3 linked regions of the Macaca fascicularis genome follow. The main gene of each other region encodes a partner of the protein of the gene in region 3 in a complex. Links are inferred from orthologs where the notes say so. Each region holds a gene or a part of one and is shown on either strand. Other genes may lie near its edges. The genes, in order: SMAD7, SMAD1 and SMURF1.

The links.
Region 1: the proteins of SMURF1 (region 3) and SMAD7 are in contact, whole or in part, in an NMR structure (PDB 2LTX), measured with the Homo sapiens proteins. The link is inferred for Macaca fascicularis from reciprocal best matches to the Homo sapiens genes SMURF1 and SMAD7. Residues at the interface, in NP_065162.1 of Homo sapiens: Glu313, Arg315, Ser316, Thr317, Arg321, Tyr323, Val325, Asp326, His327, Arg330, Thr331, Thr332, Phe334, Thr335; in NP_005895.1 of Homo sapiens: Glu203, Glu205, Ser206, Pro207, Pro208, Pro209, Pro210, Tyr211, Ser212, Arg213, Tyr214, Pro215, Asp217.
Region 2: the proteins of SMURF1 (region 3) and SMAD1 are in contact, whole or in part, in an NMR structure (PDB 2LB1), measured with the Homo sapiens proteins. The link is inferred for Macaca fascicularis from reciprocal best matches to the Homo sapiens genes SMURF1 and SMAD1. Residues at the interface, in NP_065162.1 of Homo sapiens: Glu313, Val314, Arg315, Ser316, Arg321, Tyr323, Val325, Asp326, His327, Arg330, Thr331, Thr332, Gln333, Phe334; in NP_001003688.1 of Homo sapiens: Asp221, Thr222, Pro223, Pro224, Pro225, Ala226, Tyr227, Leu228, Pro229, Pro230, Glu231, Asp232.

What each region holds. Positions count from the first base shown.
Region 1 is NC_088392.1:40,812,794-40,816,931, reverse strand, and holds the start of SMAD7 (mothers against decapentaplegic homolog 7), read right to left. Parts: upstream 2,896-4,138; 5' UTR 2,406-2,895; coding exon 1,793-2,405; intron 1,361-1,792; exon of another isoform or gene 1,248-1,360; intron 459-1,247; coding exon 405-458; intron 1-404. UniProt on the Homo sapiens protein: Antagonist of signaling by TGF-beta (transforming growth factor) type 1 receptor superfamily members; has been shown to inhibit TGF-beta (Transforming growth factor) and activin signaling by associating with their receptors thus preventing SMAD2 access.
Region 2 is NC_088379.1:150,443,993-150,446,397, forward strand, and holds the end of SMAD1 (mothers against decapentaplegic homolog 1), read left to right. Parts: intron 1-397; coding exon 398-541; 3' UTR 542-1,792; downstream 1,793-2,405. UniProt on the Homo sapiens protein: Transcriptional modulator that plays a role in various cellular processes, including embryonic development, cell differentiation, and tissue homeostasis.
Region 3 is NC_088377.1:47,714,599-47,718,786, reverse strand, and holds the start of SMURF1 (E3 ubiquitin-protein ligase SMURF1), read left to right. Parts: upstream 1-1,363; 5' UTR 1,364-2,206; coding exon 2,207-2,354; intron 2,355-4,188. UniProt on the Homo sapiens protein: E3 ubiquitin-protein ligase that acts as a negative regulator of BMP signaling pathway. Mediates ubiquitination and degradation of SMAD1 and SMAD5, 2 receptor-regulated SMADs specific for the BMP pathway.

The sequences.
Region 1 (4,138 bases), on a different chromosome or scaffold from region 3:
CATCTATCTAATCACGCTTTCCATTATTGCCGTTGATGCTCCTGGCACTCACGAAGTCTCCAAGTTTTCCCCATCAACCAGTCCTATTTGGTTCCCAAGACACTTCTTTCTGGACTAAAGCTTCCACGTATCAAAGCTGAGCCCACCGGCTACAGAGCGCAAATACAGGAAAAAGGAACAAAATGTAAAGCATATCAAGGGAACATCTTTGCAAAAACACAAAACAAAAACCCAGTCACAACAGAAAAATTCACCAAACTTCCAACAGAGGAAACCTAGAACCAACGTGAAGTGAAGCAAGTCCAGCACCTCTCCAAGCCTTTGCCTACACACAAAAAGCCAGGTTCTAGAGGCTCTATTTCTAACTTAAGATAGGAAGGATATTTTAAAAATCATCTACTCACCAGTTGGTTTGAGAAAATCCATCGGGTATCTGGAGTAAGGAGGGGGGGGAGACTCTGAAATTAAAAAAGCAAGAGAAAATAAAGGCCCAGCCATGAGAAGAGAGATAGAAACTTATGATAACAGAAGCATTCTTTTAGCCCAACTGTTTGTCTTAGCTGTGGGGGTTGGAGGCAGGGCCGCGAGGCGGTGATTGCCTTGATATTTAGCTGTCAGATAAACAAAAGAGGCCGCCTGGCGCCAGCCTCGGCGCTCCGCTCCTCCACGTCTGCGGCCGCCGCCGCCGCGCTCGGCTGGCCCGGCTGGAAACCACCGGCTCAGCCGGAGCCGCGCACTTCACAGTTCACAGGCGGGGGGCGACCATACCCCCTCCCCGTTCTCGGACTCCAGACCTAGCTCCCAGCAACCTCGGTTCCCCGCCCTGGCCCGCCCCCCAGGGGTGCAATTCACCTCCGCCCCCGCCGGTCCGCTGGGCACCCGCGCGAGGGACACGGGGCTCCCCATTCCCAGCGCACTCGGGAGATGCAGCCCAAGCGTGCTGGTGAACTTGGGGGATCTGCGGTCGCCCGGGGTGAACCCTCACATCACACTCCGTGTACAGAGACATACAGAAAAGGAAGGAATGGAGAAAGCTGACAGGATAAAAGGGAAGAAGTTTCAGGGTCTCAGCCGAGAAGCCCTGGCCCCAGCGCAGTAAGGGGCGACAACGTCACCGAGGCGCAGGGCCCCACTAATCTATAGACTTATCTGTGCGGAAGGAAGGAAAAAGTAGGGGACACCCAACTTCTCCTGGCTGTTTGTTCCTCTGCACCCTGGGGCTGGCAGAGTTGAAATGAGACAGATACCCAGTTCGGCCTTCCATCCAACTCTCTTTGCCCCAAAACTCCAAAGCTGCGCGGCCACGACAGTGTCTGGGCCACTTGTGTTCGACGTGATTCTCCTTATTTACTGAAGGAGTAAATACGGAGACCTTCCAGCCTTTTTATAGCATGCTTCTCCCAGCCTTCCTTGGCGGGCCTGGACCAAATCCAACTCGGTCACACACCTCAACGCCTTTCCGGGTGCGGGGAGGCGTGACCCCCCCATCTCCCTCTGCACCCCCTTGTTGATCCGGAAATGAAGGCGTCTAATTTTTAACCGCAAACTGTGTGCAGGAGCAGTGCCCATAGACCCCTTCGGGGCAACACAGGAGAAATCCTGGAAGGGAAACCCCAGGGAATGCCCTTTGAGTTTCCCCGTGTCCCTTCTCTACTTTCGGCCCCCAGTCTCCTCCCAGGAGGGGATGCACACTCCCCCTGGAGGGGTGGCTGCACAAACGCACTGCCCTAAGGGCTTTTCTTCCAGCACTGGCGCGCCGGAAAATGCTGGGGGTAAGGGGACAACTTCTCACCTAGTTCGCAGAGTCGGCTAAGGTGATGGGGGTTGCAGCACACCAGCTCGGGGTTGATCTTCCCGTAAGATTCACAGCAACACAGCCTCTTGACTTCCGAGGAATGCCTGAGATCCGGCCACCTGAACACTTTGCACAGCAGGAGGGGGAGCGAGTAGGACGAGGGCGGCTGCGCAGGCTGCGCGCTGGCGGGCGCCCCCGGGCCCAGCCTGCAGTCCAGGCGGCCGGGCAGCAGGAGGCACGCGGTGCGCGTCCCGCCGCGGGACTCCACGGCCTGGAGCAGCAGCTCCAGCTGCCGCTCCTTCAGTTTCTTGAGCACCGAGTGCGTGAGCGCCTTCAGATCCGCTTCGGCGCCCCCGGCCGCGCCGGCGCCCGCGGCTGGCGGGTGGGGATGGTGGTGACCTTTGGCACCTCGCACCGCCTTGCCCAGGCAGCATCCAGCCCTGCCCGGGCCGCCGCCACCGGCCCCATGCGCTCCGCTGTCCGTCGCCCCTTCTCCCCGCAGCTCGCCGCCTCCTCCACCTCCCCCCGCGCCCTCCTCCTCGTCCTCGCCGCCGGGCGCACGGCTCCTCCAGAGACGCCGGACGAGCGCAGATCGTTTGGTCCTGAACATGCGGGGCGAGGAGGCGAGGAGAAAAGTCGTTTGGCGGCTAAGGAGCGAACATGACCTCCGCACACCATGAAGAAGTCGGGCGCCGAGTTGGGGCAGCAGGCGCAGGCGACAGCAGCAGCAGCAGGGGCCCGGGCAGGAGCGGCGGCGGCCCGTGGGGCGCTCCGTGGCATGCGCCAGTCTCCCGGAGGCCGGGGCGCGCGCGGGGGCCCGGGGGCGCCCGCCGGGGATCGGGGGCCTGCGCTCCGGCTGCCCCACCCCGCGCGGCCCGCGCCCTGCGCGGCTCTCCGGCCCCGGCGCGCCCCGGAGGAACCCGGCCGCCGCTTCCCTGGGGACGGCCGAGCCTGCCCCCGTCGGCGCCTCCCCAAAAAGAGGCCCCCCCGCAGTGGCTCCCGAATGTCGGGCTCGCCAGCCTCGGCTTCCTACATGGAAGGTCCGCGGAGGCAAAAAAGCGAAAGGCGTTCGGCTGGGCTGCTGGAAGAAGGAAAAAGCCTCTTTCCCCCTTGCTAAGCAACTTAATTTGGGGGTGGGGAGAAGCAGGCAATTAAAAAAAAAAAAAGCAAGCACGCAATTTATTTTTTTTCTCTATATCCTTAGTAACCGGATCTCCTCGAATTCCGTGCACACGAAGACTCAGGGGAGGGGGCCGAGTGGACTTCACCCCGCATGAGATGTCTGGCGAAATAAGAAGGCTCTCGCAAAACCTAACAACCAAATATGCAAAGCCCCAAATGAAAAACACCACCTCCTCGAACCTCTGAGGTCTGGGGGCGTCCGGCTGGAGCTGGGGTTTAAAAAAAGAAAATGTTTACAAAGTATAACAAGATGTTTGAGGGGTGGAAAAATGTATCCACGAGTTACATCCCCCCCTTTTTTCCTTGCAAAGCCCCGCTGGTCTTCCTCTCCTTCTGCCAAAAAAAAAAAAATCGTGTATTTTTTTAATCCACAGAAAGCTTTGGCTAGACCGCTTCAATCCTGCGCATCTGGGTGGTTTAGGGGAGTCTCTGGTCTTTCCTCCTGCGCTCCTGGGGGCCCAGGTCCTCGGCGGGGACTTCCTCGAGGCTGGCGGGGGCGCAGGGGCAGAAGATGCTGCGGCGGCGGCTGAGCCCGGCGGGGCTGACAGCGCGGGGGAGGGCGGCGCGGCGGCGGCGGCGGCGGAGGGCCCCAGGCGGGTCGCGCGTTCTCGCCCCCCCTGGGCACAAGCTGCTTGCTAGTGCGGGGGCCGCCGGTGTCCCTTCCCCTGGCCGCGGCTGCCCGCCGAGGGTCCCCGCATGGGCTGCTCGCCTGGCCCCAGCAGCGGCGGCAGGAGGCCCCGGTGTCCTCTCGGCGCCTCCTCCTCCGAGACTCTCCTCGTCGCGCCCGGGAGCCTCCTTGTCCCCGGTCCGCCCTCTCCTGGCGCTCTGGTCCTTCTGCCGCCGCCAGGGGCTCGCCGCGCCGCACTCTGGGGCTCAGGGGCCGGGCGTTCGGCGGCTCGGCGGCGGCGGACTGGCTCTGTCTCGGGCAGCTCTCTCCCGCGCGGCGAGCGGACCGAGCACGGCGCCCGGCTGGCTCGGCTGGCGCGGCTCGGGGACAAGATCTTCAGTGCGCCGAGCAGCAAGCGAGTGTGCCCAGACCTCGCCGCCTCCCGCAAGGCCTCCCGCCCCCGCCCCCGCCCCCTTCCCTCCCCCTTCCTCCCCCTTCCCTCCCCCGCCCCCAGCCGCCGCCGCCGCCGCCTCCTCCCCGCCCCCCCGCACCCC
Region 2 (2,405 bases), on a different chromosome or scaffold from region 3:
TGTCTAGCATAGCTTTTTTGTTTTATTTTCTTGATAAAATGAGAATTTAATAATAGCTATTACATTACTATCAGAAATGGGCAATTAAAATAAAAGTTTTACAGTGCCTTTATTAAGACAACTTTATAATGTATTTTAAAATCTTCATTCCTCAAGACTGGTAATTCTTATTGGAATCCTTGGATGGACCCTGGGGAGCTAACATCCATCCTTTGAAATTGCCTGCCAAATTATATGTGTGTTTGTATATGTGTGTTTTTTTCTCCCCGGCGGCGGGGGGCAGGGAGGAAAGATGCATAGCTTTAATCAGAGTCTTGGTTATGTGAACCCTTCTTACTTAATAAGTTTAACCACTGAGTTAAAACAAGTTAAATGACCTCCAGTATGTTTTTCCTAGGGCTGGGGAGCAGAATACCACCGCCAGGATGTTACTAGCACCCCCTGCTGGATTGAGATACATCTGCACGGCCCCCTCCAGTGGCTGGATAAAGTTCTTACTCAAATGGGTTCACCTCATAATCCTATTTCATCTGTGTCTTAAATGGCCCCAGGCATCTGCCTCTTGAAAACTATTGAGCCTTGCATGTACTTGAAGGATGGATGAGTCAGACACGATTGAGAACTGACAAAGGAGCCTTGATAATACTTGACCTCTGTGACCAACTGTTGGATTCAGAAATTTAAACAACAAAACAAAACAAAAAAACCCACCTTGGTAACATACTGTTGATATCAAGAACCTGTTTAGTTTACATCGTAACATTCTATTGTAAAATCAAACTAAAATGCAGACTTTTAGCAGGACTTTGTGTATAGTTAAAGGAGAAATGGCCAAGCCAGGGACAAATTGTCTATTAGAAAATGGTCCTAAGAGATTCTTTGGTGTTTGGCACTTTAAGGTCATCGTTGGGCAGAAGTTTAGCATTAATAGTTGTTCTGAAACGTGTTTTATCAGGTTTAGAGCCCATGTTGAGTCTTCTTTTCATGGGTTTTCATAATATTTTAAAACTATTTGTTTAGCGATGGTTTTGTTTGTTTGTTTTCAGTAAAGGTTAGTCTTGATGATATACATAATAATCTTTCTAAAATTGTATACTGACCATACTTGCTGTCAGAATAATGCTAGGCATATGCTCTTTCCTAAATATGTATGTACAGAGTATTTGGAAGTTAAGAATTGATTAGACTAGTGAATTTAGGAGTATTTGAGGTGGGTGGGGGGAAGAGGGAAATGACAACTGCAAATGTAGACTATACTGTAAAAATTCAGTTTGTTGCTTTAAAGAAACAAACTGATATCTGAATTTTGCTGTGTTTCCATTTTTTAGAGATTTTTATCATTTTTTTCTCTCTCTTTTGGCATTCTTTTATCTCATGCTCTTCAAAAGGCAGTTCTGCAGCTGGTTAATTCATGTAACTGTGAGAACAAATGAATAATTCCTGCTATTCTGAAATTGCTTACATGTTTCAATACCAGTTATATGGAGTGCTTGAATTTAATAAGCAGTTTTTACGGAGTTTACAGTACAGAAATAGGCTTTAATTTTCAAGTGAATTTTTTGCCAAACTTAGTAACTGTTAAATATTTGGAGGATTTAAAGAACATCCCAGTTTGAATTCATTTCAAACTTTTTAAATTTTTTTGTACTATGTTTGGTTTTATCTTTCTTCTGTTAATCTTTTGTATTCACTTATGCTCTCGTACATTGAGTACTTTTATTCCAAAACTAGTGGGTTTTCTCTACTGGAAATTTTCAATAAACCTGTCATTATTGCTTACTTTGATTAAAAATTTGTCATTTCCTTTGTTCACCTACTAGATTTTAGGATCAGTAAAGTTTGCTACCCTTCTGAGAGTTTTTTTCTTAAATATCCTCCACCAAACATGAGTGAAATTACTATTTCAGAGACTGGACACAGCAGCATGAAGAGACTGGAGCCAATTTCAGTCACAAAACACAGGAGATGTACACCTTTAAAAATTAAGAAAAACTACAAAAATCTTACATGTATGAACTTTTTAATTCTAGAAATTATAGCAACAGCACTTGTTGGTTAGTACCAGGCAGTCAACCAAAGCAACAATTTCTAAACTTCAGATGAAGATACAAGCGTGACTGTGGGAGGAGGTAATAAAGGGGGAGGGATGAGAACTCACAGTGCAGCAGATGACGACTACCTTTGCAGTCAGTCTACTTAAGGCTGGGATGATCCCAACACTACCCATTCCCCCACAAAAAAGTTTCCCAATGAGGGACACAGATTGAAGGACACTTAGATTATTTCCTGCCCCAATAGATGCCATTCTTTCTCCTTTACATTTTTGTGTATCTTTCCTGGAGTGTGTTTATGAGACCTGAAATTTAAGGACCCTCCCTTTTTAAACCTGGTTTCAAAGAAAAGAA
Region 3 (4,188 bases):
CGTGTCTCGATTGATTCAAAATAGTTAAGTTTCTCAAGAAAGATTAAGAAAATTGTTCAGACTGTTGACTTTGTCAATTTGTACCAGCTAAGAACCTCACTTATGTAAGGCAGGCCAAACTTTTGTTTCAAAAACCATATAACACAGTTGTTGTGATAAGATGGAATAAGTGGTCAGTTTTTAGCTCCCTTTGCATTTACATTAGGGTTTGCCTCAAATTTAGGAAGACACAGCTTAAGGCAGTTCTTTGAGCTGAATTATTGGAAGGTGTAGGATGGGTTAGAACAAATGCTGTTGCAAAACTTGAATTGCAATTATACTTTAAGAAGAATCACGTCCTGCCAAATAGAGGTTTTTATCATTGATTTTGTGATTTGATCACATTTGCGTTGCCTTTTAAAACAACTTTCTCTTTTCAAATACTTTTTTTTTTCCTTTTAATCTTCTTGGCCCACCCAACTGACTTTAGACATGAAATTTTTCATATGCTTTATTTCTATCTCCATTTTTACCGTAGTTGTGATTTATCAAACCAAGATTTTTTACTTCAAGCCCATCTGTCAGAGTTTAAACCCTCTAGTCTTAGTTTAAACGACATACAAAAGTCATTTCTGAATGTTGGGTTTTTCTTTCTCTTCCACAAATTTTCATTTTCTTGGTTCAGTCACAATGTCAGGTTCTAGTGTGGAACATTGGGTGAAAGAAAGGAGGTTTTGGAGGCTGTGTTATTTATGAAATATTTCCTCATGGATTAAGAAAGAAAAAAAGACAAAAAGACAAATAATGTTTCAATATCACCTCAGTGATCCAGTTAACTAGACTGGCTGTTTTGTACAACATTGTGGGCACTGGTTAACAGTTAAAATAGCTGAATTGTGCATTTTATTGAGTGAGGTTCAAAAAAGCCTCAAATGGATGAAATAACTTGGTATCTTTGCCATGCTCTGATTTGCTGGGTAAGAAAGCTAACTTATAGGATGCTTATTTGGATCAATTTTATATAATTTCAAAACCATTTTAGAGGCTAATTTTTTTTAAAACAAATAAGGAATATACAGTTTTTTTTTTTTTGGTCACTGAACAAGTTAAATTACTGGTTTGTTATTTTGTGAGTGAGTTTGTAAGTGAAAGCCTCCAACCTAAATTAGCTTCTTGTCCAGGGAACTCATTCTGACTGACTAAAGTCCCTAAGGCCTTTCTAGTTAAAGGAAAGCCATGGAGCTATGTTTAAAAAACAAAAGCACATAGCCATGTGGCTTCTTTTTAAAATGTCAGTATTACTGTTTTGTCTGCAGACGCAATTTAATTCATTTCGATATTTAAACCAAGTGGAATGTTGTTTCTACATTTCTGGACTAATGGGGGGAAAAAACCCTTATATTCTTTTAAAACAAGGCTTAAATAATGTACAATGAGCCCGTCTGGTGACGCGCCCCACTCTGTAATTCCAGCTGTGTTCACCTCCACTGCAGCTGAAAGGAATTCTAATTGGCTGAGGAATGTCGGCAACATCGTTTATCACTGAACAGGAACCTATCCTCCTGGCTGCTGGATGATGCATTTCAGATGTTTTAAGCTCCTGAGCCCAACTTGGGGCTTGCTTTCAGGAGTCTGTAAGAGCATGTCATGAAGCTGCAGATTGTAGACGGCAGCCTGTGTTCTTCTTTGTATGTTGGGCATCCGCTGAGTTTTCTAAAGGACATGATGGTTTCTTATGGCTCCAACACTGGATTGGGGATCAGAAGGTCTGAATTTGATTTCTAATTCACACAAGTACCACAGTGAAGAAAGGGGAGGGGGTGCATAGAACTATAATCTTTTCTTGATTCAGTTTTCCTATCTTTAATGCCAGAGATCTGTCTTTTTAGATTACAAAGGGACCTGCTAGAGATGGATTAAATATTTTAATGAGTAGTTATGAATTATTTATAGAGTATCACAATGTTAATATGGTCATAGATTCCTGTTATTTCTTATTCCTAAATAACCAGGTAAATAATAAAGCTAATAATGTACTTTTATATTGAAGAAAATCTATAGAACCGATTAATAAACATGAAAAAATAATACAATGAATTGATAAATTCTCTATGTATTCAGAAAGTTCCTTAGAGAAATAGTGTTAGAAGCCAAAACCAGCATTATCTTTATTTTTATTTTATTTTATGTTTTTCCCAGGCCAGGTAATGTGCCATGGGACAGCCTCATGTTTATTTTTTGTTTTGTTTGGAGACGGGGTCTCGCTCTGTTACTCAGGCTGGGGTGCAGTGGCACGATCATGACTTACTGCAGCCTCGACTTTCTGGGTTCCAGTGATCCTCCCACCTCAGCCTCCCGAGTAGCTGAGACCACAGGTATGTGACACCATGGCCGGCTAATCATCGTAGCTTTGGTAGAGAAGGGGTTTCGCCGTGTTGCCTGGCTGGTCTTGAATTCGAGAGCTTAAGCAGTCTACCTGCCTCAGCCTCCCAAAGTGCTATGATTACAGGCATGAGCCACTGCACCTAGCCCGCATCATCTTTAAATGATGAAATTGTGGAAGCATTCCCATTAAAATCAGGAACAATGCAGGGATGTACACTGTCAAAATAGTTACTATTAATAACTACAGAAAGACATCAGAAAGCGGGAGACAAAATTGCTGTTATTTACAGATGTTATGATATATCTTTAAAAGCCCAAAAGATCAGCTGAAAAACAATTATAAACAATAAAAAAACTTTAGCTGGATGGAAAATTTCTCCATGGCAAAAATAGGATAAAACATGCAAAGACAAACTATAAAAACAATCTATAATGGATATGAAAATGAAAGTGTGGTTTTCCTAATACATAAAGAGCCTTTAAAATCAATTAGGAAAAGGCCAGTACCTAATAGGCAAAGGATATGGGCAATTCACATAAAAGAAAATAGAAATGGATTTGAAACGTGAAAAGACAACCCTGGCCGGGCGCGGTGGCTCAAGCCTGTAATCCCAGCACTTTGGGAGGCCGAGACGGGCGGATCACGAGGTCAGAAGATCAAGACCACCCTGGCTAACTCGGTGAAACCCCGTCTCTACTAAAAAATACAAAAAACTAGCTGGGCGAGGTGGCGGGCGCCTGTAGTCCCAGCTACTCGGGAGGCTGAAGCAGGAGAATGGCGTAAACCGGGAGGCGGAGCTTGCAGTGAGCTGAGATCATGCTACTGCACTCCAGCCTGGGCGACAGAGCAAGACTCCGTCTCAAAAAAAAAAAAAAAAAAAAAAAAAAAGAAAAGGCTACCCTATTTTCTCTCTTCTTCTTTCCTTTTCTTTTCTTTTTTAGAGATGGGGTCTTGCTCTGTAGTCCAGGCTAGACTAGAGGACACTGGCATGATCATAGTTCACTGCAGCGTGGAACTCCTGGGCTCAAACAAACATAATTTCCTGGGTAGCTGGGACTACAAGTATATGCCACTGTGCCCTGTTCTCTCTAATGCCCATTTTCTTTCTTTAAGAAATTATTTTTCATTGATAATCAGTCCTATTCATACTAAACAAACTACAAATTAAAAGTAAGAATGAAACAATTTTTCATTTAGAAGAATGGCAGACCAAACAGTTTGAAATTTTTCTGTGATGAGACAAGGGTGTGGAAAAACAGGTCTTTTACCCTGGTGGTTGAGAATATAAATTGATAGAGTAGGTACTAAGGGCAGTTTGGTACTATCTATCAGATCATAAATGTTTATGCTCTTTGATCTAGCAAGTCTACATGTCGGACTTTTATGGGTGTATTCACACATTTATGTCAAGTCTGATATGCAAAATCATTGCAGCATTGATTGAAATTACAAAAGACTGAAATCAACGTGAATGTGTATCAGCAGCGACTAGTTAAGTAAATGGTTGTGTATCCCCAATGATGCGTAGCTGTTTAAAATAGTAAGATAGCGTTTTATATTCTGATATGGAACATTCTCCAAGATACATTATTGAGTGTGGGGGTGGGGGGGGAAGCATGATTCAAAACAGAGACTAGTGTGAGTGCTATTTGAATAATAAAACAAGAAATAAAAATAAAGGGGGAAATTTATAGATAGGTCTGTATAGAATATGACTGGAAGATGTTGACTGTTGATTTCCTCTGAAGAGATTCTCCTGTTCTCCTCTTCAGATGAAAGAGAGAGAGAGGAGAGAGGAGAGAAAAGAGAGAAGAGAGGGCAAC